Callithrix jacchus: one gene and its partners. The protein of the gene in region 5 purifies or fractionates together with the protein of the main gene of each other region. This does not show direct contact. Links are inferred from orthologs where the notes say so. Each region holds a gene or a part of one and is shown on either strand. Other genes may lie near its edges.

What was found.
Region 1: the proteins of protein POLR1D (region 5) and POLR3K purify together in Homo sapiens (affinity purification with mass spectrometry; 3 studies listed by BioGRID and IntAct, with this or other methods). This does not show direct contact. The link is inferred for Callithrix jacchus from reciprocal best matches to the Homo sapiens genes POLR1D and POLR3K.
Region 2: the proteins of protein POLR1D (region 5) and POLR3E purify together in Homo sapiens (affinity purification with mass spectrometry; 3 studies listed by BioGRID and IntAct, with this or other methods). This does not show direct contact. The link is inferred for Callithrix jacchus from reciprocal best matches to the Homo sapiens genes POLR1D and POLR3E.
Region 3: the proteins of protein POLR1D (region 5) and POLR1E purify together in Homo sapiens (affinity purification with mass spectrometry; 3 studies listed by BioGRID and IntAct, with this or other methods). This does not show direct contact. The link is inferred for Callithrix jacchus from reciprocal best matches to the Homo sapiens genes POLR1D and POLR1E.
Region 4: the proteins of protein POLR1D (region 5) and POLR1B purify together in Homo sapiens (affinity purification with mass spectrometry; 5 studies listed by BioGRID and IntAct, with this or other methods). This does not show direct contact. The link is inferred for Callithrix jacchus from reciprocal best matches to the Homo sapiens genes POLR1D and POLR1B.
Region 6: the proteins of protein POLR1D (region 5) and POLR2H purify together in Homo sapiens (affinity purification with mass spectrometry; 4 studies listed by BioGRID and IntAct, with this or other methods). This does not show direct contact. The link is inferred for Callithrix jacchus from reciprocal best matches to the Homo sapiens genes POLR1D and POLR2H.
Region 7: the proteins of protein POLR1D (region 5) and POLR1F purify together in Homo sapiens (affinity purification with mass spectrometry; 3 studies listed by BioGRID and IntAct, counting the BioPlex papers as one, with this or other methods). This does not show direct contact. The link is inferred for Callithrix jacchus from reciprocal best matches to the Homo sapiens genes POLR1D and POLR1F.

What each region holds. Positions count from the first base shown.
Region 1 is NC_133513.1:2,334,473-2,338,616, reverse strand, and holds the start of POLR3K (DNA-directed RNA polymerase III subunit RPC10), read left to right. Parts: upstream 1-1,344; 5' UTR 1,345-1,440; coding exon 1,441-1,551; intron 1,552-4,141; coding exon 4,142-4,144. Other genes in the region: SNRNP25 (U11/U12 small nuclear ribonucleoprotein 25 kDa protein), read right to left, coding at 978-1,019. UniProt on the Homo sapiens protein: Core component of RNA polymerase III (Pol III) which synthesizes small non-coding RNAs using the four ribonucleoside triphosphates as substrates. Can mediate Pol I proofreading of the nascent RNA transcript.
Region 2 is NC_133513.1:22,906,796-22,910,295, forward strand, and holds part of POLR3E (DNA-directed RNA polymerase III subunit RPC5), read left to right. Parts: intron 1-216; coding exon 217-266; intron 267-1,584; coding exon 1,585-1,704; intron 1,705-3,073; coding exon 3,074-3,159; intron 3,160-3,421; coding exon 3,422-3,466; intron 3,467-3,500. UniProt on the Homo sapiens protein: DNA-dependent RNA polymerase catalyzes the transcription of DNA into RNA using the four ribonucleoside triphosphates as substrates.
Region 3 is NC_133502.1:144,462,817-144,466,316, forward strand, and holds part of POLR1E (DNA-directed RNA polymerase I subunit RPA49), read left to right. Parts: intron 1-629; coding exon 630-715; intron 716-3,080; coding exon 3,081-3,139; intron 3,140-3,500. UniProt on the Homo sapiens protein: Component of RNA polymerase I (Pol I), a DNA-dependent RNA polymerase which synthesizes ribosomal RNA precursors using the four ribonucleoside triphosphates as substrates.
Region 4 is NC_133515.1:22,055,078-22,059,139, reverse strand, and holds the start of POLR1B (DNA-directed RNA polymerase I subunit RPA2), read left to right. Parts: upstream 1-1,262; 5' UTR 1,263-1,294; coding exon 1,295-1,471; intron 1,472-4,062. UniProt on the Homo sapiens protein: Catalytic core component of RNA polymerase I (Pol I), a DNA-dependent RNA polymerase which synthesizes ribosomal RNA precursors using the four ribonucleoside triphosphates as substrates.
Region 5 is NC_133506.1:146,860,106-146,863,605, reverse strand, and holds the end of protein POLR1D, read right to left. Parts: exon of another isoform or gene 2,927-3,500; intron 2,174-2,926; coding exon 1,906-2,173; 3' UTR 447-1,905; downstream 1-446.
Region 6 is NC_133516.1:13,344,881-13,347,499, forward strand, and holds the end of POLR2H (DNA-directed RNA polymerases I, II, and III subunit RPABC3), read left to right. Parts: intron 1-153; coding exon 154-237; intron 238-1,704; coding exon 1,705-1,822; 3' UTR 1,823-2,119; downstream 2,120-2,619. UniProt on the Homo sapiens protein: DNA-dependent RNA polymerase catalyzes the transcription of DNA into RNA using the four ribonucleoside triphosphates as substrates.
Region 7 is NC_133512.1:38,561,546-38,565,552, forward strand, and holds the start of POLR1F (DNA-directed RNA polymerase I subunit RPA43), read left to right. Parts: upstream 1-1,207; 5' UTR 1,208-1,228; coding exon 1,229-1,482; intron 1,483-4,007. UniProt on the Homo sapiens protein: Component of RNA polymerase I (Pol I), a DNA-dependent RNA polymerase which synthesizes ribosomal RNA precursors using the four ribonucleoside triphosphates as substrates.

The DNA of each region.
Region 1 (4,144 bases), on a different chromosome or scaffold from region 5:
GGCCAGGGCCTGGGACTGGGACTGGGGTAAAGCAGGTGTGGGAAATTTACCAGGGTAGCAAAAAACGGTATTAACTATAAATATTTTAACACAACATTTAAGAAGCACAAGGCCAATTAAAAAATCCATGAGCAAAATATCAAACATTTAGAATTGGCCGGGCGCGGTGGCTCATGCCTGTCACCTCAGCACTTTGGGAGGCCGAGGTGGGCAGAGCACGAGACTGAAACCATTCTGGGCAGCATGTTAGATCGTGCTACTGCACTCCAGCCTGGCTCTGTCTCAAAAAAAAAAACCCACTCAAACAAAGTATCGTGCCAAAGCATGTTGGTGCTTGAGGCAAATGGAACAATCAGTGCTACGAATCTTGCTCTTGTTTAAAACTAGATTTTTTTCTTTACTGTAGGCTTTTTTTTTTTTTTCATCAACTTTTACTTTTAAAACTATTACAGACTGGGCGGGTGGCTCACACCTATAATCCCAGCACTTTGGGAGGCAGAGGCAGGAGGATCGCCAGAGCCCAGGAGTTCGATACCAGCCTGGGCAACATAGTGAGACCCCCCCCTCTCTACAAAAAATTTAAAAATTAGCTGGGCGTGGTGTCCCGCACCTGTGGTCCCAATTACTCGGGAGGCTGAGGTGGGAGGATGGCTTGAGCTCAGGAGGTCCAGGCTACAGTAAGCCGAGATCGCGCCACTGCACTCCAGCTTGGGTGACAGAGCATGACCCTGTCCCCCAGACCCCCTCTAAATACAATTACATTAAAAGGTCATTTATTGTCACTCACTAGTGAGGTTTCTGGTGCCTCTTTAAATTTCGCGCCCCAGGCGAGTGCGCCCTACCCAGGTTAAGACCCTCGTTTACACCCAGAGGCGCCTTCTCCCATCAGCACCTTCAGAGGCTGCACGTACCCGAACGCCCCGGCTCCCGGCCCCCGGGGGAACGACCCCAGCCCCCCAGCCTCCGCCCGCACACACCTGGATCGGCAGATCGCAGAGCAGCGGGTCCTGCACCACCATGGCCAGACCCTCCTGGAACACGTCCACGGCCTCGGAGTGAGGCAGCGTCTCCTCTTCGTCCTCATCGTCCTCTTGCGCCTCGGGCCGACTCGCGGCCTCGACCTGCTCCAGGACTGCGCGTCTCAGTAGGGCCCCGCCCGCACTGCCAAGCCGCACTACGGAGGCCAAGTACGCAGGCGCAGGAACGGGGGCCCGCCCCAGCGAGGCCGCCCAGCCATTGGTGCATCGAGGGGAGGGGCAGTTGCAGTGACCAATGACAAGTACGAGATAGCCTGCTGGGCGCGCAGAATCGCCCTGTCTATTGGTTGGCTGGGCGGGGCGGGGCGGCTGCCGGCACCGACGTGAGCTCGAGGCGGGCGGTGTGTCGGCGCTGAGGGACGGCGGGAGCTGCTGGGAGCCGGGCCCTGTGGAGTCGGAGACGATGCTGCTGTTCTGCCCCGGCTGCGGGAACGGGCTGATCGTGGAGGAGGGACAGCGCTGCCACCGCTTCGCCTGCAATACGTGCCCCTACGTGCACAACATCACCCGCAAGGTGGGACTCGAAGGCGGGCGTCTCTCGCAGGACTTCCGCTTCCTCCGACTGCAGCGCCTTCGCCGCCAGCCCCGGCGTGTCTGTGCCTCTGCCCTTTCCTTCTCTCGTTTTTTTTTTTTTTTTTTTTTTTTTTTTAAAGTGAGACATCCTCTCGCTCTGTTGCCCAGGCTGGAATGCAATGGCGCGGTCTCGGCTCACCGCAACCTCCTCCTCCAAGGTTCAAGCGATTCTCCTGCTTCAGCCTGCCGAGTAGCTGGGATTACAGGCGCCCGCAACCACGCCCGGCTAATTTTTTTTTTTTTTTTTTTTTTTTTTTTTTTTTTTGAGACGGAGTTTCGCTCTTGTTACCCAGGCTGGAGTGCAGTGGCGTGACCTCGGCTCACCGCAACCTCTGCCTCCTGGGTTCAGGCAATTCTCCTGCCTCAGCTTCCTGAGTAGCTGGGATTACAGGCACGCGCCACCATGCCCAGCTAATTTTTTGTATTTTTAGTAGAGACGGGGTTTCACCATGTTGACCAGGATGGTCTCGATCTCTTGACCTCGTGATCCACACGCCTCGGACTCCCAAAGTGCTGGGATTACAGGCTTGAGCCACCGCGCCCGGCCTGGCTAATTTTTTTTTTTTTTTTTTTTTTTTGTATTTTTAGTAGAGACGGGGTTTCACCGTGTTGGCCAGGCTGATCTCAAACTCCTGACCTCGTGATCCGCCCGCCTCTACCTCCTAAGGTGTTGGGATTACGGGAGTCAGCCATTGCGCCCGGCTGTCCGCTCTTTCTCGCGCCCCCTTCCAGTCGGCAGCGGATCCCGTGGGCTCTGCTTTCCTGTACACCCGGCTAGGCCGCCGTTTCCCGCCTCCCTGGGTTCCTGCTCTCACGCTTGCGCCCCTTACTGCGTTCGCAGCAGCGGCCACGGCGATTCCGTAAGGGCCGAGTCACACAGGTCCGTGTTGTGCGCAGAAACTTTCGACCTTTCCCAGCTCACGCAGGGGAAAAGCCGGAGTCCTCCAGGACCTACCAGGTTCCGACACTGAGCCGCTGCCCGGCGCTCCTCCTGTTGCCCTTTGCCCCATCAACACCAGCCTCCTGGAGGACTGGCACTTAAGGTTGCTTGGTTCACTCTTCCCCTAGAGCCGGCTTACTCACTGGTCTGGTCTTGTCTTCAACGTTGACTGTATTTTAAGTTGCAGCCCTTCCTTCTCAGTTATCCTCCTTCCCTTTTTTTTTTTTTTTTTTTTTTTTTTGAGACGGAGTTTCGCTCTTGTTACCCAGGCTGGAGTGCAATGGCGCGATCTCGGCTCACCGCAACCTCCGCCTCCTGGGTTCAGGCAATTCTCCTGCCTCAGCCTCCTGAGTAGCTGGGATTACAGGCACGCGCCACCGTGCCCAGCTAATTTTTTTGTATTTTTAATAGAGACGGGGTTTCACCGTGTTGACCAGGATGGTCTCGATCTCTTGACCTCGTGATCCACCCGCCTCGGCCTCCCAAAGTGCTGGGATTACAGGCGTGAGCCACCGCGCCCGGCCCCTCCTTCCCTTTTTAATTGTTTCCATAGGGCTTATTACCTCCTAATATATTATGTAATGTATTGTGTGCTTTGTTTATTAATAGTAGGACCTAAGGTCTAGGCGGGCAGGGTTTTTCTCTGTTCCTTTCCATGTTCTATTCTGAACAACTAAAAGGAAACCTATGACATAGTAGCTGTTCAGTAAGCAGATGATGCACTGTATTATAACTTATTACTTTTCCTTAATAATACAGATTTGCTTTTTAGAATACCTTTACTTTTGTTTTTTTTTTTTTTTTTTTTGAGACACCGTTTTGCTCTTGTTGCCCAGGCTGGAGTACAGTGGCGTGATCTCGGCTCACTGCAACTTCCATCTCCGTGGTTCAAGTGATTCTCCTGCCTCAGCTTTCCAAGTAGCTGGGAGTACAGGCGTGCGCCACCACCGGCTATTTTTTGTATTTTTAATAAAGACAGGGTTTCACCATGTTGGCCAGGATGATCTTGAACTCCCAGCCTCAGGCGATCTTGCCTTGGCATCCCAAAGTGCTGGGATTACAGCTGTGAACTGTCTTTTTTTCTTTTTTTGAGATGGAGTCTTGCTCTGTTGTCCAGGCTGGAGAGCAGTGGTGTGATCTTGGCTCACTGCAACCTCCATCTCCCAGGTTCAAGCATTTCTTACGTCTCAGCTTCCCGAGTAGCTCAGCTACTTCATCCTCCTGAGGCATCTGCCACCACGCCCTGCTAAATTCTGCACTTTTAGTAGAGATGGGGTTTCACCATGCTGGCCAGGCTGATCTTGAACTCCTGACGTCAGGCGATCTGCTTGCCTTGGCATCCCAAATTCTAGGATTATAGGTGTGAGCCACCATGCCCGGCCAGAATACCTTTACTTTTCAGAAGTTAGAACGTCGTGGTGTGACCTCAGTCTTAATGTTTGCATACTACTCCGTTTTGTACTGTGTTGTGGGAGTGTAGAGTCTGAAACTGTGGGAAGAGTGAATTCTTATGCAGTCCTGAAATTTGAGGTTTGGAGGCCCAAGTTTGCACCATTTGGCTACTTTGAGTCTGAAGGCTTGTTTTTGTCAGGTA
Region 2 (3,500 bases), on a different chromosome or scaffold from region 5:
GCCAGAAGCACCCACCCCACAGTCGTCACAAACAAAAACGTCTCCACACATTGCCCAGTGTCTCTGGGAGACGAGGCAAAAGTGTCCCCACTTGAGAACCTCCGGCCTAGGCAGCTCCCTCTTGGAGGAGAATTCCCAGCACCCTTGAGGGTGGGGTTGAGAGAAGGGAGGTGGGCGCTCCCCAGGACTGCAGGCAGTGGCTTGTCTCTCTTGCAGCAGGGGACTCTTCACAGGATGAGGCGGAAGACGATGTTAAGCAGATCACGGTGAGCCCTGGCCCCTGGGGGAGGTGGGTGCTACCTGGGTGGCAGCAGGACCAGTTTAGTAACTCAGCAGCCCCGAGACCAAGGGGTAGCGGGTCCTCGAGGGAAACAGGTGGAACAAACAGGGTCCATGCTTTTGAGCCTTCTTGCTGGGTGCCTTAATGGAACATCCTGAGTTTCCCAGCTGCACATAAGACAGAGCCCTGGCTGGATGCAGGAGATGGGTCCCTGAGGCTCGGCTGGAATCACCTGGGAGCAGGAAGCTGGGGCCAGGAGCTCCGAGGACCCACAGGCCAGCTCTGCCATGAAACCTGTATCTTTTTTTCTTTTTTTTTTTTTTTTTTTTTTTGAGACGGAGTTTCCCTGTTGTTACCCAGACTGGAGTGCAATGGCACTATCTCGGCTCACCACAACCTCCGCCTCCTGGGTTCAAGCAATTCTCCTGCCTCAGCCTCCCGAGTAGCTGGGATTACAGGCGCGCACCACCATGCCCAGCTAATTTTTGTATTTTTGTAGAGACAGGGTATCACCTTGTTGACCAGGATGGTGTCGATCTCTTGACCTCATGATCCACCCGCCTCAGCCTCCCAAAGTGCTGGGATTATAGGCGTGAGCCACCGCACCTGGCCTGAAACCTGTATCTTAACGAGCCAAAGTCAATTAACTGTAATTCTATCCTCTTTATGCAGCACAGATGAATAGTTTTTGTTTTAATAGTTATTCCTGAATTTTAAGGATTTTTCAAAGAACCTTAACGTTCCATTTATGGTTTGTAAAGTTTTCCCTATTTAAGCATATTTAGATTAAAATGAGTAGTACCAAAAAAAAAATGCTACACATGGAATGATCATATACAAGCCTGGCTAAAGAGCGGTGAGTGTTCGGATGTCCTTGAGGACTGGGGAACACTGGTGTAACTGACACGGCGGTGGCTCAGAGAGCTCACCCTCTTCTCTCAGTAGCTTCGTAGGACTTTAGAAACTCCTTTCGGCTCTGGGGGACATGCAGCCCTTTTTAGAAAAGGCGTCCTTGGGCCTGCATGCTGTAAGGACTCTGCCAGCTCTCGTGCCTGGGACTTTGTAATCCCCCTCAAACCTGTGGGCTGGGCAGGCGCGACCAAGTATAAGCCACTCCCCAACGTGTGCAGACAGCTCTGGGAGGGACGCAGTTGGAACGGAATTTAAACGACCTGTGCCAGGAAAGGAAGGGGGGCGGGGAAAACCTCGATACAGAGTTCTCTGGTCTCCTGGCAGAGGCCGAGATGGCAGCCCAGGAAGGGTCACAGGCCTGAGGGCATGAGTTCTTCCCCTTGCCACCCTAGGTGCGGTTCTCCCGGCCCGAGTCAGAGCAGGCCCGCCAGCGCCGCGTGCAGTCCTATGAGTTCCTGCAGAAGAAGCATGCGGAAGAGGCCTGGGTACACCTGCATTACTATGGCCTGAAGGTGAGCGAGGGTGAGCGGGCCTCATGGAGCCCTGGGGGGGACACCCCGTGCCCAGAGGGGCAGGATGTGGCCTCCATGTCTCACCTTGAACTTAAGTCACATTCATGAGTCCTAGCCACAAAGAGATGATTTAGTCCTGTGGGCAGTTTCCACTTCATTCCAGCCAAGCCATTTAGCGTGGACCCCAGGGGAGCAAGAGAAAAAGATTCGAATCCGAGGTTCCCTGGGTGGGGTTTGGCCCCAGGTGTGGGCCTCTTGCTGGGCTGGCAGCGGGACTGGTGTCTGGTTACATATTTTTCCTGTGCCCAGGTCCTGAACGCAGGCCAGACATGTTCTCTGGTGCTGCCCTAGAAAGTTGGTCATCTGTTGTCTGCCCCAAAGCTCCTGGCACGCCTGCCCAGGAGGATTTTTTACTATATTCAATTTTCATCTGGTGCACTGACTTTATTGTTTTGTTTTGTTTTGAGACAGTCTCGTTCTGACACCCTGGCTGGGGTTTAGTGGCTCAATCTCCGCTCACTGCATTCTCTGCATCCTGGGTTCAAGCAGTTCTCCTGCCTCAGCCTCCCAGGTAGCTAGGACTACAGGCACCGCCACTACACCAGCTAATTTTTTTATTTTTTATTTTTAGTAGAGATGGGGTTTCACCATGTTGGCCATTCTGGTCTTGAACTCCTGACTTCAAGTGATCTGCCTGCCTCAGGCTCCCAAAATGCTGGGATTACAGGCATGAGCCATGGCCACCTGGCCCTGGTGCATTGACTTTAGAACCTAACCCTTGAAACTATGTATCAAGTGAGGGAAGCTTCCAAAGATACCATGGACCAGGCTCCCAGTGTTTTCTGGGGTGGGGAACCTCTGGAACCTTCCTGGAAGAGATTTGTGTTGACAGACCCTTAAGACTCAGGGTCAAACCTTGGAACATTGCAGTTTCCTGCTTTATGACCTTGGGCATGTTACCTGACCTCTCTGAGCTTAAGTTTTCTAATTTATAAGATGAGAGTAGTAATCATAGTACCTACCTTGCCGAGTTATTTTGAGAATGGGATGAGTTAGTGTATTTACACCCAGTGGAACAGAGTCCAGCACATCCTAGGTGCTCAGTGAACGGTAGCCATCATTTTGTCATTGCCAGTGATGTACCTGTGTTACAGACAGGGCACCAAGGCTTGGGGTTGGGGCTGGGCATGTCATAAGGCCAGGAAGATGGGTGGCTGAGGCCACATCAGAGGCCTTGGGTGCCATGCTTAGGAGGTTGGACGTGGTCGTATGACTGCCCATGGAGTGGAAGGCAGGGGAGACCTTGGGAAGGGGGCCCAGACCAGGGCCATCGGCTGAGGCTCTTTCACACCCTCCTCTCCTCCAACAGGACAGCCGCTCTGAGCACGAGCGCCAGTACCTGCTATGCCCAGGCTCGAGTGGGGTGGAGAACACAGAGCTTGTCAAGTCACCCAGGTGGGAAGGGCTAGGCCAGCATGTAAGCTGGATGCCAGCCCAGGGGCCCCGGGGTTGGGGTGTTCCCTTCGGTGTGGATCCTCCTCTAGCAGCAGGGTGGAGCCCATTGTCCCCTGGAGGAGACCAAGGGGGTGGGCCGGGAAAGAGATGTTTCCCTTTTCTGCAGGGGCTTGGGGCTTCTGGGGGAGGGCAGTGGTGGGCTGTCTGAGGAGGGTCCAGCCTGGGTCGGCCCTGAGCCTCTGCCCCTGCCCTATCCCTGCAGTGAGTACCTGTTGATGCTGATGCCGCCCAGCCAGGAGGAGGAGAAGTGAGTAGAAGCGGAGGGATGCTCTCTCCCTTTT
Region 3 (3,500 bases), on a different chromosome or scaffold from region 5:
CAGGAAAAGGGCTAGGCGCAGTGGCTCACACCTGTAATCCCAGCACTCCTGACCTGAGGTCAGGAGTTCGAGACCAGCCTGGCTGACATGGTAAAACCCTATCTCTACTAAAAATACAAAAATTAGCCAGGCATGGTGGGATGCGCCTGTACTACTTGGGAGGCTGAGACAGTAGAATTGCTCTGGGAGGTGGAGGTTGCAGTGAGCTGAGATCGTGCCACTGCACTCCAGCCTGGGAGACAGAGCAAGACTCTGTCTGAAAAAAAAAAAAAAAAAAGGCCAGCTGTGGTGGCTCATGCCAGTAATCCCAGCACTTTGGGAGTCTGAGGCACGTGGATCTCCTGAGGTCTCGAGACCAGCCTGACCAACATGGAGAAACCCCATCTCTACTAAAAACACAAAATTAGCTGGGCCTGGTGGTGCATGCCTGTAATCCCAGCTACTCAGGAGGCTGGGGCAGGAGAATCACTTGAACCCAGTGGCAGAGGTTGCTGGGCACCAGGATCGTGCCATTACACTCCAGCTTGGGCAACAAGAGGGAAACTCCATCTCAAAAAGGAAAAAGGAAGCTGTACAAATAATATTTTTGAATAATCCATTGTTACTTCTATTATTCCTTCTTTATTCAGGCACTTTGTGGGAATTTTGAACAAGACCTCTGGCCAAATGGAAGTATATGATGCTGAATTGTTTAACATGCAGCCACTGTTTTCAGGTAGGTCCCAGCCATGAAAGCTGACAGAAACAATGCATAGTTTGGGTTTGCTGGATTAATTGGCCTGAGTTTTAGATTTATAAACACATTTTGTAGTTATTTTCATTTATTTATTTTATTCTTTTTTTCTCTGCTTTGTCTGTGTTGAGAAAATGGTTATATATATATATTGTGTGTGTGTTTTTTTTTTTTTTTTTTGAGATGGAGTCCCACTCTGTCGCCCAGGCTGGAGTACAGTGGTGTGATCTCGGCTCACTGCAACCTCCACCTCCCAAGTTGAAGTAATTCTCCTGCCTCAGCCTCCCAAGTAGCTGGGACTACAGGCGCATGCCACCACACTTGCCTAATTTTTATATTTTTAGTAGAGACGGGGTTTCACCATGTTGGCCAGGCTAGTCTCAAACTCTTGACCTCAGGTGATCCACCTGCCTCAGCCTCCCAAAGTGCTGGGATAACAGGCATGAGCCACTGAGCCTGGCCTAGAGGTTTGTATTCAGCATGCACTTATTGATGATCTCCTGCATCAGGCATGAGGCTGTGGATATGGCAGTAAGCAAGACATCCTGTCCCCATGGTGTTTAGAGACTTGAGGTGGGAGGTTCATAAAAGCAAGCTGTGCAATGATCAGAGCAGAATATTAAAGGACATGTCTGATATAAAATCTTTTCCATCAAAGACCTTTCTTAATTCTTAACCGTTATAATTAGGATAAAGAGGTTTTAGAATCTCTGGTAGACAAAAAATTGCTTATTAGGTTGTATAGTAACTTTCATGTTGAGGACAAGTCTCCTCACTAATTTGGGGAAGATGTATTTTTTTCCCTAATCTAGTGGAAGAATTTACATTGCTTCTCTGCTTTGTCATGTTAGAATGCTCAGGGCTAGAGTGAGACCTTCCAAAATAATAAATAAGAGGGTCATACTTAAGGGGCTTCTGTTCCTTAAATCTCAGAACTTGAATCCTTAGTGATGCTCTTGAATATTGAGAACCATGGCAGGATAGCGTAGTAGATAAGAATCGCTGGGATCATGGTGAATCTGCCTGATACCTCAGAGGCATTACTTCCAGCTTTATTCTCTCAAAGCAGTGCTTCTACCCCTTTTGAGAATCTGATGAGGACCTGGACCTACTTCTGAGAAACGTATATAACACACAAATATATATATGGGATTTTAAAAAAATATGGAATTTTACACCTAATTTTTATTTTTTTTTGAGACCCAAGTCTTACTTTGTCACCCAGGCTGGAATGCAGTGGCACCATCTGGGTTCACAGAAGCCTCTGCCTCCCAGATTCAAGCGATTCTCCTGCCTCAGCCTCCTGAGTAGCAGGGGTTATAGGTGTGCACTACCATGCCCGGCTAATTTTTGTACTTTTAGTAGAAATGGGGTTTCACCACGTTGGCCAGGCTGGTCTTCAACTCCTGGCCTCAAGTGATTCACCCACCTCAGCCTCCCGAAGTGCTGGGATTACAGGTGTGAACCACTGTGCCTGGCCAAATTTTACACATAATTTTAAAGGGCTCTTGAGTCCTGACACCTGTCTGTGAATTTCGTAGGGGTCCCTCTGCTTTGCAAACATATATAACTATATTTAAGTCATTCTCCAATTGTTCTTATAAAATCCAAGGAGGCAAGGAAAATTGTAATTTTAACATGTTAATTAAACAGATTTTTGCTCTTGTATGTAAGAAATTTGTAAGTAGGAGTTTATTCTAGCTAGTACACACACACAGATAACATTTATCTTAAGTCCTTATTATGTGCTAGTCACTGTTCTAAGCACTTTTGATGTACACAGCAACCTTCTGGAGTAAGTACTGTTGTTTTTCTTTTTAACCAGTGATGAAAGTGGCACAGAAGTTAGATGACCTTGTCATGGGTGATGTCTGAGATAACAGGCAAGGTCACTCGAGAGCTTGTGCTGTTGTCTGCTAGGTTCTACTGCCCCTTATTTGAGTAATTTGTAGATGATTAGAGAGCATCGTATAAATACCACATACCTCATGTTCATGCCTGCTTTTAGGTCTTTCACTAAGAAAGCAAAATTATTTCTTCAGAAGAGCCAAGGACTTGTTTTCCAATCCTGTTTGCCACCACCTGGTGAACTGCCCTGGGGCGAGTCATTTCTAAAATGAAGAAGTTGGGCTGGATGACCCCTTCATTTGACTCTCTCATTTATTCTTCAAGTTCTTTAATTGTATACTAAAGCTACGTATTAAATATTCACAGTATGCACTCATGTTAGGCTCAGGGAAGTCCTATAGTAAAAAAATCTATTATTCTTAGATAGACAAATGAATATTAAACCCTATTACTATTTGTAAGCCTTCCACTTGACTTTTCTTTCTGTCTGTTTTGATAGATGAATCAGTTGAGAGTGAACTGGTACAAGAGAGTCAGACCAAAACTTATAGAGAAAAGGTGAGTGTGAGAAAATGAAGATGTGGGACCTTACGCAAGTTCCTTCTAAACCCTGGTTTTTCCATCATTAAAATGAGCTTATTGAACTCAAGGGTCTGCCTAGCTGCTCCCAGCTCATTCAGTCTGTTTCGCTGGACAGTTAGTTTGTACCTGCAGAAGCCTTCTTGGTCCCACAGAGAGAACAGCCCCTCTCCCATCTGGGGCACACAGCTCTGTGCCAGTGTTTGATGTTGGTTCTCCAGGCTGATACAGGTGTAGCATGATGCTTATTTTTAGGATTTTGTCCAAGTTTTAGAATATATTGGTTGTAGCCTGAAAACTTTCATGTTAAAACAAAGTAAACTTTAGGATTTTCAGTGTA
Region 4 (4,062 bases), on a different chromosome or scaffold from region 5:
AGAATCACTTGAACTTGAGAAAAGGAGGTTGCAGTGAGCCAAGTTCATACCACTACTCTCCAGCCTGGGTGGCAGAGCAAGACCCTGTCTCAAAAAAAAATTAAATTAAAAAGTGGAAGCTAAACATTGGGTACACATGGACATAAAGATGGAACAGCAGACACTGGGGACTACTAGAGCAGTGAGAGAAGCAGGGGAGCAAAGGTTTAAAACTACTTATTGGATACAAAACTACCTATTGGAACTTGGGTGACAGGTTCAACCGTGTCCCAGACCTCAGCATCACGCAATATACATTTGTAACAAACTTGCACAGGTACCCCTGATTCTAAAATAAACGTTGAGAAGGGGAAAAAAGAATGCAAAGCTTGTTTAACTTACAAAATTTACTTAATATACCACTTTAGTAGAAAAAAGGAGCAAAAAGCACATGATCATTTCAATATACACTGAAAAAGCATTTGGCAATAACACTCTTGGGAAGAAAACCTCTCAACAAACTAGAAATAAATTACTTTCTCAACTTGATAAAGAGCATCTTTGGAAAAACCCACAGCCTACATCATATTAATGGTGATGTGAATGCTCCAGTTGGGAGCTTTCTTCCAACATCAGGCACAAAACAAGTATATTTATTCTTGTCCCTTCAACATTGTACTAAATGTTGGACGCCCCCCTACCACAGCCTCTCCATCTGAGACCGCCCGACCCCTACCCCACCTCCTTCCCCGGGCCTCCCCCAGGACTCCAGTCCAGACGATGCGGGGAGGTTAGCGGGCCCGACCTTGGCCTTCCAGGGGTGAGCCTCGCGATTTAGGAGTTGGGTAAAGAGCCCGGGGCCCGGCATCCGATTTTTCATTGAAACAACGACTTTGTCCGGATGACTCCCCAGGGTCGGCATCAGCGTGGGACTTGGAACAGGTTAAGGGACCGGATAGATGGGAACCTGAGAAGACCGCTTACCTCCAATCCTAATTGACTGAGCCAATGAGAGCCAAAGAGGTCACACGCTCAACTGGGTGAGGAGTGGGTTTCGCCTTCTTTAGCAGAGGAGGGAGATGCGTGGAGCGGAAGATGGGAGAAGGGGCGGACCCGCCACGCTCTGGCTGGATACAGCTTTAACCGGCCCGTTCACTCGACGGTTTTGGTTCTACGTCGACCCCATAAAAACCGTAGGGCCTAGGGCGGGCGGAACAAGAGGGAACTACATTTCCCAGCAGGCTGCGGAAGCGGGACTCCGGCCACTACTTCCGGCGCGTACTGAGCGACGGGTGTTAGGTGTGCAAGTAGCCGCATGGATCCCTGCAGCCGGTGGCGAAACCTTCCCAATGGGCCTAGCCTAAAGCACTTGACCGACCCGTCTTATGGAATCCCGCGGGAACAGCAAAAGGCAGCGTTGCAGGAGCTGACGCGGGCTCATGTGGAGTCCTTCAACTATGCTGTGCACGAGGGTCTCGGCCTCGCGGTGCAGGTGAGTGCGGCATCCACTGGCGCCCTTGCCGCGGAGAGACCAAGCTCGAGGCTGGCGGGCGAGAGGGGCCAGGCGGAGCTGGAGGAGGGAGGGGCGGGGGTGAGGTCTGGGCCTTGTGGGGCGCGGGCGGTGACAGGGTCCCAGAGAAATGGCTCAGAGGCCACAGTGTGACCCAAAATGCGTTTGCTCCTTGATCCTGACAGGCTCAGAGGGTAAGCGGGAGAGCACACGTGTTGAACAAGACGCAGAGCTGGGCCTCGTGGAACGTGTATTCGAGTCGTCTAAGAGATGTATTCGTGATTTCTGGATTGAAAAGTGATTGCGAACCATAGTTTCTTGTTGGATAGTTTCTGGGTTCTGTGAGAGTGAGGAAATGGCTTATTGGGGGTGTGCTTCCCAACCATTCACAATGCACATGCCTTTGTATCACTTGAAGACACCTCTCCAAAACGTACCTCAAAATATTCTGAACGTATTTGTAGGTACAGTGTAATGTACAAGGTTATCCTTCAGTTTCCTTTTCTTAGAGCTTTAAAGAGAGAAACTACTCATTTGTTCTGAATTAAGTAGGTGCTAAAGAAGGTATAAATGAGTCGTAAAGGCAAGATTGAATCGAAAAGTGTAATAGCATTACTAGCGTAGGGTAATGGTAGCAGAATTGAGGTGAGGATGGTGGGGGAAAGTTTCGTTTAGTAAGTATCCCCAGTGTCTCTAGGCACTAGGCTCTGAGGATGTGAAGGCCGCAGTCCCGTGTAAGAGACAGTTCATACATTTAAGTGGTCCCTGTCGTGTTTTGGGGTTAAAGGAGTGAAGATAGGAAAGTAGTCCATGCCAATACGCGAGCACTGCTCTGTCAAGGGATTTTATGGGCTACTGTGGGAGCATATAGGCAGCGCAACTAGTCCAGGAGTTTGAGAAAAGGCAGGATTAGATGAGTTCAAGAGGTGAGAAACATGCATTCCGTCCAGGGGAAGAGTAGAGCAGAGTCACATGCTTAGGGGACCCTACCTGTGGTTTTGTTGTGTAAGATTTGTGTTGTGAGAGATACGGGTAGAGATAATGTGAAGAGCTTTGATTGCCAGTCTGATACTTGAACTCTATTCCGCAAATAATACGGGAGGCATTAAAATTTATTTTTTGGGAAGACAAGAGTGGTGGGGATATTTGTATGTATTGTGCCTGGATTCTTAGAGTATCATGTCTGTGAGAAAAAATACCTAATTAAAAGTTAATTAGACCAGGTACAGTGGCTCACACCTGTAATCCCAGGACTTTCGGAGGCCGAGGCAGAACGATGGCTTGAGCCAGGATTTCAAGACCAGCTTGGGTAACATAGTGAAACCTCGTCCTCTGTAAAAGTTAAAAGATAGCAGGGCATGGTGGTGGGCACATGTGGTCCCAGTTACTTAGGAGGCTGAGGTGGGAGGCTAACTTGAGCCCAGGAATTCAAGGCTGCAATGAGCTATGATTGTGCCACTGCACTCCAGCTGGGGTAACAGAGCGAGACCTTGTCTTTAAAAAAAAGATAATCAAATTGAGAAATTTTAGAAAAGCACTAATTCGGGCCGGGCGCAGTGGCTCACGCCTGTAATCCCAGCACTTTGGGAGGCCGAGGCAGGTTGATCACGAGGTCAAGAGATCGAGACCATCCTGGTCAAAATGGTGAAACCCCGTCTCTACTAAAGATACAAAAAATTAGCTGAGCATGGTGGCACATGCCTGTAATCCCAGCTACTCAGGAGGCTGAGGCAGGAGAATTGCCTGAACCCAGGAGGCGGAGGTTGCGGTGAGCCTAGATCGCGCCATTGCACTCCAGCCTGGGTAGCAAAAGTGAAACTCCATCTCAAAAATCAATCAATCAATCAATCAATAAACCAATTGATTGGGTGTGGTGGCTTTTGCCTGTAATCCCAGCACTTTGTGAGGCTGAGGCAGGCGGATCACTTGAGGTCAATCAAGAGTTCCAGACCAGCCTGGTCAACACAGTGAAACCCTGTCTCTACTAAAAATACAAAAATTAGCCGGGCATGGTGGCACATGTCTGTATTCCCAGCTACTTGGGAGGCCGAGGCACGAGAACCGCTTGAACCCTGGAAGTGGAGGTTGCAGTAAGCTAAGATTGCACCACTGCACTCCAGCCTGGGCGACAGAGCAAGGCTCTGTCTCAAAAATAAATAAATAAACAGAAATAAAAATAAACCAATTGTATGTTAACATTTTTATGAAAATCATTTTTCAGAGCAAAAAAGAAATTAGATGAATTGCATTATTAAAAATCTTTTTAATGTCTGGCTTAATGAAAAGACAGCTGGATTCTCATGTCTGCTTCTGCATTCAGCTCCTTGTGATACATTGTTTTGGTTGAAGTAGATGAAGAAAATTTGGCCCTGCACAGAAAATAATGTCACAACTTATCTAGGACTGTAATAATAACATATTTGAAAATGTTCTGTAAAACACAGTAAAGTAAATGACTACTATTTATAAAGCCAAGGGGAAAAAAAAGTTTTATCATATTTTTATGTACTTACAAAATGTAATTTTGCCTACTTTCTTTGGAGTGAATTCCTCTTGTGAGTCAGAATTTATGG
Region 5 (3,500 bases):
TCATAGAAGTATAGTTAGGCTAAAAAGCTTCCTTAATTTTGAGTACAAAAATGTGTTCATTTCAGTCATTTCTTTTTAAAGGATAATGAACTTGTTAGTGTGTTATAAATACACAATGCAAGGCCAGGTGCAGTGGCTCACGCCTGTAATCCCAACACTTTGGGAGGCCGAGGCAGGTGGATCACCTAAGTGCAGAAGTTTGAGACCAGCCTGGGCAACATGGTGAAATTCTGTCTCTACTAAAAATACAAAAATGAGCCGCACATGCTAGCACACAACTGTAATCCCAGCTACTCAGAAGGCTGAGGCAAGAGAATCACTTGAACCTGGGAGGTGGAGGTTACAATAAACTGAGAGCGTGCCATCACTCTATAGCCTAGGACACAGGGCAAGACTCTGTTTCAAACTAAATAAATATAAAAGATAAAAAAAATACAGAATGCATAGACAAATGACACAATTCAGCTTTATTTTTACTTAATTATAACAATTTTTAAAAACTCCATGACTTTGTGCTATTTCTAATATTTAAATACAAAACATTTCAAATTTTGCACAAATAATTTTGGCTAATGCATTACTATATTTGAATAAAGTCAGATGAAGCAATGATTCCTCCTCTGTGTTTGAAAGGAATGACTGTGGTTACAAAGTCACAGAATGAGTCTCTGGGATCTGGGGTGGGAGAAGGGGTGGATTAAAATGCTTTGGGTTTGTCACTCCCGAGCAGGCTGAGGGTGTGGCATAGCAGCTCGGTGGCGGAGAAGTCTATTCTAGTTTCTAACACCCCAAAGCTAACTTTTCAGATGTATTTCTTTCTAGTATGTAGAAAGGGCTTTCCTTGGCTGCCAGGAAGTGGGGAGCAGGGATGTGGCATGGTGATGATCTAGGGACAGCCAGGCATATGCTCAGACACTTTGGAAAACTGGGGAGGGGGAACAGGGAGACAGAATCTTCATCTTCTTCCTTTTGTGGACTGGGGAGGAGGGTGCTTGGAGACAATTTCCTGAGTGTAAAGAAGGAATACAGGTTTGAAAGGTTTGTAATTATATGTTAAAGAAGGTACTGAAAACCAATACTGGGGGGTGGGGGAGAAGATGCTGTAAACACTTCTATTTAAAATGAAGATTTCTGGAACAACTATACTAATAGTGGTATCGTAAGTCTTTAGCTGGTAAGATCTAGCACTGAAATAACTATTTTTTTAACTTGTGAGGGATATTTTTAAAGCACCACTTAAAACCTATGTTTTAAAAAAATTAAATATAGAAAAATTGTTCTAATAAATGAGTTTGAGAATGCACAGAAAACAACAGAACCCATTTTTTAACCTCTGGTAACTGAAGTGGAGCATGAAATTCAAAGCCACTTTGAGGATGTCCTACATTGTTCACCTAAAGAGAAACAAATGCAGAGCTATCAAAGAGTTTCTTGATAAATTCCCAGACCTTGGAGGGCTACAGCTTTTCAAAAATATGGTCCCTGGACTGATGATTTCTAAATTTTAAATTTGATAACCCCAAAAAGTAACATATACGATTTATAAGTGGTTTTTTTTTTTTTGAGAAATGACCAAAAAATTGGAACTAGTTTTAAGAATCTCTGAAAACTTTAAATTCTACACATATTTTGAAACACACTTCCAAACAAGATAGACTAACAATAATACATGTCTACTACACTGCAGAAGTAGCTGAAGCTTGCCAAGACATCCTCCTTTGTCCTTGTTTCCTGGAAGAGTTGCTAGGTCATTTTTTGCCGGTGGCCAGCAGCCTCTTTAAGAACAACAAAGGATCTACTGTAAAAGTCGCTCTCAGATGTTTGCCCTGCCAGCTAACGCTTTCTCTGCACACCGCACCCGAAGGAGCACGGAGCCCGCAGGGCTGGCTGGCCCTGGCTCTGGCCTCACCGCCGGCTGGGCCGCCTTTCGTACTTGTCCTGGCTGCTCCGCTTCCGTGGTGGGGAGTAACTGACGGAACCTCGGGAACGGAAGCTGTGCTTGTAAGGATGGCTTCTGTGTTTCTTCGGGTTTTCTTCTTTCTGGGCCTGGCTCTTCGCTGGTTCCTTATCGTCCTCTTTTTGTTCATGGTCTTGCTCTTTATGAGAGGGCAATGTGTTTTTAATTGTGTTAATTAGAAATCTTTTATTGGTACCAGCAAGAGGACACTTCATCCTGGGGTTGCGGGGAGAAAAGAAAAACCATCACAAATCAAATGGTTAACTCCAAAGCTGGACCCACTATCGTGATTAGTACCAAAGAATCCTGCTCCCACAGAACCGAGTTTATGAATTTGTTAGCTTTCCTTGCATGCCACCTAGTGTAAACTCTGAGTACCAGGGGAAAAAAAAATCAAGACGATTGAATTCTTGAGACAAGACTGCCCAGGCCCTGTCTGAACACTTTTAAAATCTTTCTTCCTTCCTGAGACTAAATTTCCCGGCTGAAGTTCATATGTACCAGTACTGACCACACTGTGAATTAACAGAATCACTTAATATTTTCTTTCAACTAGTAGGTGCCCGATTTGACTATAATCTGTTTTGGATTAAATTTATTCTGCGTTGTGTTTTATTACCAGATAGTGAAAACTGTTCCTTTTCAAGGAGCCAAAAAAGTATATTCTGCTGTATCTTAAATACAGGAGCTAAATGATCTGCTCTAGAAAAAAAAAATTGTGTAAAGAATAAAAAATATGCACTAATCTTTTACTTAAAAAAATTCTTCCATTTCTATTTCAGGATGCCAGGCTATGCTCTGTGGAGGGGAGCTTTACTCACTCTCCTGCTCTGGTGAATTTCAGTACAGGATATATTTAAGTAGCTTCATGATTCAAGTTCACCTAGGAGAGGCTGCAACCAATCAAATTGCTAATTTACACGCTTAGAGATCTAATAAGAGCTTCATACTATTTATTTTCTTTTTCAGGTGTTAATCTTTCATTTTCAAAAAGATGACCCTACACCAATGAGAACTTGTATTTCTCTTGGCCTTGAAGTATCTGCCTAAAGTATGGGCTACTTTAGGAGTATCCCCAGAATCATGTTATTCAGGGTGGCTGGTATTAAACAAAATGCAGTAGAACAGCCACCTTTCAATAAATTGTGATTTACAGAGAACCCCACACAATGCTTCCGAATCAAGCCAACAACACTCCACCGTGGGAACTGTGTGGACTAGTACTGCACAGGGGAAGCACAGGCAGTCACTCATCACTTAGAGTTCAGACCACCTCAGAAAGCCAAAATGGCACGGAATCTGGAAGTAAAAGGGAGAAAAAAAAGAAAAGGCCTCCTGCTGCAAGTAGGTAGCTCTTGAGCCTTTAAAGGACAGAGAAAATATTTGAGAAGAATCAATGTTTACTTTCAGTGTGCTGTGCCTGTTTAATGGTCAAGCCAGAAGAGTGACAAAGGAATGAACTAGAACAAAGAGGAAACTAAACTGAGAGAAGGACAGTGGAGTGCAACAGAAACAGTGGCGACAGAAACAGTGGCGACAGAAA
Region 6 (2,619 bases), on a different chromosome or scaffold from region 5:
CTCACAGAATTGCTGTGAGGACTAAATGGCGTCATGTTTATAATGTGCCTGTTGTTAAAATGCTGGCATCGAGTTACCAGTTACCATTTTTAAATGGCATCTTTTATATTGTTAATTACTGTTAAGAATAACTTTGCTACTCTTGCTCCATAGGGCTGACCAATTTGAGTATGTAATGTATGGGAAAGTATACAGGATTGAGGGAGACGAAACTTCTACTGAAGCGGCAACACGCCTGTAAGTTACATGATCTTGTGAGGATTGTTTTCCCCCTCCCTGTTCTGAGACTTTGAGTTATGCTTCTGCTTCCTCTGTTGGGTCCTTCTCCTTAGGCACCTCAGACATAGGTGGGAACTAGAAAGAAATGGTTATTAGAGCAGTTTCCAGTCTGAATTGTAGACTGCCCTTTGTCAGGCCCTCCTGGCCTAGTGGTCCAGAAGAGAAACTGGTCATCTCCCTGTTAAAGTATGGAGGAACCAAATGCAGCATTAAGTGATTATACTATTAGGCTGTGTGTGTGTGTGTGTGTGTGTGTCTTTTCCTTAAAATCTTATTAAAACAATATGTGCTGTTTGTAAGTAATTTGAAATGCGGAAGAGAATGTGAAGAAGAAAAAAAACCCTGTCATTCCATACCCAGAGAGAACCTTTTACATAGACTTTTTTGCATATCCTAGTGTTCTTTTTTTAAATTTATTTTTAATTTTTTGTTAATATCCTAGTGTTCTTAACATCTATATTTTTCCTTTGAGACTGCGGTGTTAATTACCTTTTTTCTGCTTTTTGCTTAACATTATGTAAAACATGTTTTGGCCGGGCGTGGTGGCTCACACCTGTAATCCCAACATTTTGTGAGGCCGAGGTGGGTGGATCACCAGGTCAGGAGTTTGAGACCAGCCTGGCCAACATAGTGAAACCCCGTCTCTACTAAAAAAATTACAAAAAATTAGCTGGGCATGGTGGCAGGTACCTATAATCCAGGTACTTGGGAGGCTGAGCCAGGAGAGTTGCTTGAACCCAGGAGGCGGAGGTTGCAGTGAGCTGAGATCTTGTGCCATTGCACCCCAGCCCAGGAGACAGAGAGAGACTCCGTCTCAAAAAAAAAGAAAAAGAAAAAGAAAATGTTTCCCCATGTTAGTGTAAAGCTTTCTTAAACATTTTAATAGTTAGATAACATTTCAGTAAGTGGATCCCATTCCCCTGATTTGGAGCATATAGGTGTTTTTCGACTTTGCTAATAGAAAGAACAATGCTGGCTGGGCGCAGTGGCTGATGTCTCTAATCCCAGCACTCTAGGAGGCTGAGGTGAGTGGATCACCTGAGGTTGAGAGTTTGAGAGCAGCCTGACCAACCTGGAGAAACCCCATCTCTATTAAAAATATAAAATTAGCCAGGTGTGGTGGTGTACACCTGTAATCCCAGCTACTTGGGAGGCTGAGGCAGGAGAACTGCTTGAAACCGGGAGGCAGAGGTTGCGGTGAGCCAAGATCACACCACTGCACTCCAGCCTGATCAACAAGAGAGAAACTCTGTCCCAAAGAAAAAAAGAACAGTGCCTTACACATATCTGTACATTCATCTTTGTCAGAATTTTGGTTCCTAGTGACAAAACAGTAGAAAGATGTTATTCTCTTTGTTAGGCTGAGATGGAGAGCTGCTGAGTAGTAGCTGCTCCAGACTCATGGCATGCGGCCTTCTGTTTCAGCTCTGCCTACGTGTCCTATGGGGGCCTGCTCATGAGGCTGCAGGGGGATGCCAACAACCTGCATGGATTTGAGGTGGATTCCAGAGTTTATCTGCTGATGAAGAAGCTAGCCTTCTGAACCTCGCCTGAAGCCAGCCTTGCTGCCACGTCACTCAGGTCCTGGACATCGTTCTAGCTTGAGTTGCAGCTGCTCTTGATTACCTGTTGAGGAGGGGCTGGTTCCCTGTCCACTGTGGCTGCATCTTTAACTGGCCTGCACTCAGTTAGAAACTCACTCGCCTGTGAAAGACACAGTGGGAGAGCTTAAAATCAATAGGAAGCTTTGTGTATATGATTTTTAATCAAATGTTACTTTTTCAGACTGCCCCTCCCCTTTTTGTAAAAAGTTCGTTTACTGTAAAATCATTTTTTCCAATTTGTCTGTGGTGTACTGTTTCTGGCCCGCAGCCAGCTGATCACTTGCCATTGTAGGATCTATTCCAGCCTTTTGGTATCTGGGTTCAGGGTTATCCCAGTCTCCTGGCTGACTGTTCCCAACGTTTATCCTCCAGTGTGGTTTTCTGTCTGGGAGAGGGAGTGTTGTGCTTTTGGCTCCTGAGGGCACCCCAGGCCCAGAAGATACCACCCATTTGGCACAGAAGTTTGAATTGGCAAGGAGCCCTGCTCGTGTCCTTCCAACACTTTCAGTCTCTTAGAGAGTCAGTTCACATTGACTTGAATGAGTCACTTGCATAGTCTCATTATTTCATTATTTTTGTGGAAGATTTGGGTAGAGGCTTTTAGCTACAGGCATGGGGGATGACTCTGAAGAGTCGGAGGAGAGGACTTGGTGCTTCCGGAGGCAGGTGGAGGAGCTGGCTCTCTGCTCTACATTCCAGTGGTGACCCGGGAGGGAGGGTAAGTGGAAGTGGACAG
Region 7 (4,007 bases), on a different chromosome or scaffold from region 5:
TGTTTCTTTGGAGGAGGGATGAGACATGTGGGCCACTGCAGTGAACAATACAGATTATGGTACCCGCTTTAGTGACTGTAGGAATCTATTGATGGAACAGGCAAGCAAATGGGCTGTTAATATAAAATTAACGTAAAAACGAACATAGATGGTTACTTACTCCTTATAGAGAAAAAGGAATAGGGTGGTTGAAAACTCTTTGAGAAGGAACAGAATGTAAAATCTAAGCTAAAAATTCATAGATGAGTAGAAGTTACCCTTGTGAAAAATGTTATATTCCCTGATAGAAGCAACAGCTTAAGACTAAAGAAAGAGACCTGAGAGTGGATTAAGGAGCATGATAACATTAGGGCGGGGAGTCTTGCAGCTGGTCTAGATCTTGTGACAAATGAAGCTGAAGAGAGAAGCTGTGGGCTGATCACAAAATGGCCTTGTAACTTATAAACCATTTTCAGGAGTTTATGTTATCCTGGAGGGACACAACATGATCACATGTTTCAGGGAAGCTCTGGCTGCCGCAGAGTGTCCTCCCGACCATTAAGCTAGGCTTCCACAGGCAGAGTGTCCTGAAGTTTTGGCAGCAGGAGAAGAGGATAGTGTCCAAATACAATATTTATACATAAGGCAATACAGGCCTTCAGGCTGATGTGATATTTGGGGATACAAAAGAGGATCCGAGGCTGACACCTTGGCTGTGACGTGATTCCCTAATTTAGCAATTGCATAATGAGGAGAGAAGCGGAACAGGAGAGAAATAGTGGGCCCGTTTTCAGACATGTTGCATTTTAATTATCTGAGCTGTTGCTTAGGATTTCGTGTACTGCATAAAATATACTCCATAAATATTTTGAATCTTTATTGTACAGTACAAGTTTGTAAAATTGTACCAAACCACCTTACCACTGGAAATTATCAAACTGAGAACCCCCCTTTTTAAGCTACCTAGTAAATAAACCCAGTAAGTTTCAGTGGGAAAAACACACATTTGCCCGCCCTCAAAAAAGCAGTTGTTTGGCTTCGCGCATGCTCAATATGTACTTGGGGCTCTTAAACTCCTCTTCAAAGAGCGAAAAACCTGTTTCCCCCTGCTGGCCAGACTGCGTAATGCAGCGTCAAGAGGGCAAATTCCTAGGGGCGTGGTAGTTGGTGGATGACGTAAAAAGAGCGTCGGGGACAGGCGATTGCGCTTGCGTCAACGGTGCGCGCCGCGGGAACCTTGACAAGCAACATGGCTGCGGGTTGTTCAGAGGCGCCGCGGCAAAAGGCGGCTTCTGATGGGTCTCTGGTAGGGCAGGCTGGCGTCCTACCTTGCCTAGAGTTGCCGACTTATGCCACTGCTTGTGAGCTGGTGAACAATCGCTACTCATGCCTGGTGGCCGGGCCGCACCGAAGGCACATCGCTCTGTCGCCCCGCTACCTTAATAGGAAACGCACTGGCATTCGAGAGCAGCTGGATGCGGAGCTCCTGCGCTATTCTGAGAGGTACTGATCTCTTTGCCTGTTCCTTCTTTTGTGCACGGGAAGTACCAGCAGGTGGATGTGCTGATGACGTAGCAAAAAAGGGAGAAATGGTAAAGGTCGCACTGCCCCCCAGAGCTTATACCCGTGGAATTTTAGAGTCTTGATCCGTCCCTCAAGGCCAGTACCGCTCTGGTAAAGATCTATACAGGGTCCCTTTCAGATAGAGAAGAAAACTTAAAGGTGAAGTTCAGGTGTGGGCGGAGGAAGTGGAGATTCTCGCTCCAGATCCCTGATGGTAGGGTTAGGAACAGAGCAGGGGTCTGGAGACCTAGTAGGCCCGGTTCTGTATGGCATTCAACGTTTCATTTATCCCCTTCCGGATGATGTTTTCTCATTTGACAATAAAAATTTGGTTTGCAGTGCTTAAGTAGATTCTCATTCCATAGAAGATTGCACATGAAGCATTAATACAACTGTTCTATTTGTAAAACGTGAAGCACGTTTTTGTTGGATTTTGCTCTGGTAATTTCCCCAGGTTCTCTTCTTTTGGATCTGATCTGGGGATGATGAAAATGCCATTAGTTTAGTGTTGTTGTTGTTGTTGTTAAGACGATTTATGCAATCGAACTAGTAAACCTGTTGCTTTTGGGTGAGAAAAACCCAAAACGTATTCATTTATATTACAGTATTCAAAAGCAACTTGAAAACTCAGAATTACAGAAGTATGTGTGTGGAGGGGGTGCAGGCATGTGCTTTAGTATTCCTCTGGACTATACTTTGGTTCAAAAGAGAGGGTTCTAAAACTAGAGTGAATGGATTTCCTAGGAATTCATGATTGCCCTTCAGGAATTCCCATGTGAAGTTCCTTGGGTGCTGGTATCCAAAGCTTTTACCATTTTCTTAAGGGATCCTGGACCAACACACACAGGCTGATAGTCAAGCATGTCTAGAATATACAGCTTCTGCCAAGCACCAACACACAGTTCTTGTATGTTTATATTATATACTGAGAATTTGAGATATAAAAACAAACAAAAAATTAAATCCCTGTTTCAAGGAGCTATATAAGCTGTAGTAGAGATACAGATTCAAGCCAATAAATAGTGAAGTGTTAAAATTTGACAGAAATCTAATAAGGTAAGGAGTGTTGAATTTGGATCTTGGGACCTTTGAGAACAACTTGACAGAAAAGGGTACTTTCACATGATAGTATTCCAGACAAAGAGAGTGGCATAAACAAACGGATACTGGATGTGAACTGGTATGCTATGCCTAGGGAGCTGTATCTATTATATAAGCAGAATAAGGTGTATGTCAGGGGAAAGGCATTGGAAGTCACTGGAGAGAAGGGCAGGGGGTCAAAAATGACTCAGAGTATGGCTATTTTGCTTTTCCCTTCCTGCCATTGCCAGTTTTTGGTTTTAGGGGTGAAAAGTATGGTTGTTTTTCCTTTTGTGTTTCTGTTTTCTTAGGCAGGGTTAGTGCTTCATCCTCTCAATACCCTTTAACTCTGAGACCTCACACACTTTTGAGAAAGTAGCACATGTTTGTAGTCCTGGCATATCAGATTTGCACTTTAAGAAACAGCACTTGGTAGCCTTAATGGTTAGCTACCAAATAGGATGAGAATGTGGACAAGGAGATGAATTAAGATAATATTATAATTGTCTAAGAGAAAATGGTTAGAGGGGATGGTTTTTAGATTTAAGATTATACAAAGTGGTCATAACATCTGGAAACACAAGCAACTATTTTGTTTTCTGTCATCAGTATTGCCTGCACTTGACAGGCTAGGGGAAAGTCACCCAGAGTGGCTCTGAACAGATCTGGATACCATTCCTTCCACATTACTTGAGTATGCTGAAGACTCCTATTTATTCAGGTGCAAATCAGGCACCACACTTTGAACTATGCTTTGCTAATAAGGGACAAAACATTGAATATATATTACCAAAGAACTAAAATGAGGCTACCACCTTGCCCTGATACCCATTTAGAAAAACAAAAGTGAAGGAGGAAAAAGTTTATAGTGTTGGGTGCCTGTGTTCACATATCTGATGACTTTTAATAAAATCTCCCCTGAATTTATATATTGCTGAATTCCTGATAATTTTAATATATATTAAAACTATGCAAAAATGACTTTGTGTTTACGACTTTTAAGAGTCAAATTATGTGCCTAGCTATTTGTAAACAGATTTGTCCCTTTATTCAAAAGTCAGAGCTATTAATATTTCCTCATTGTACAGGATGGTCCTGTACATGGCAGACTCTTTTCTTTCCTGGATTCGACAAGGTTTGTGATAACCATGAATAGTATCACAAATTTCCAAATGGCCCACTCTTCCGTGCCCCACAGGGGACCACAGTCCTCCTTCCACTTGAGAATCACTCTCTGATAGTTGAGAGATTTGATTAGGGGAAATAAAGTCTTAATTTTTGTTTTTCTCTCTAATATGGCAGTTACTTTTTCTTCCTATTCTCTAACTCTGTTTTCTGTGTCCCTAACATTTTCTTAGTGATAGGATGATTCCATCTTAGGAATG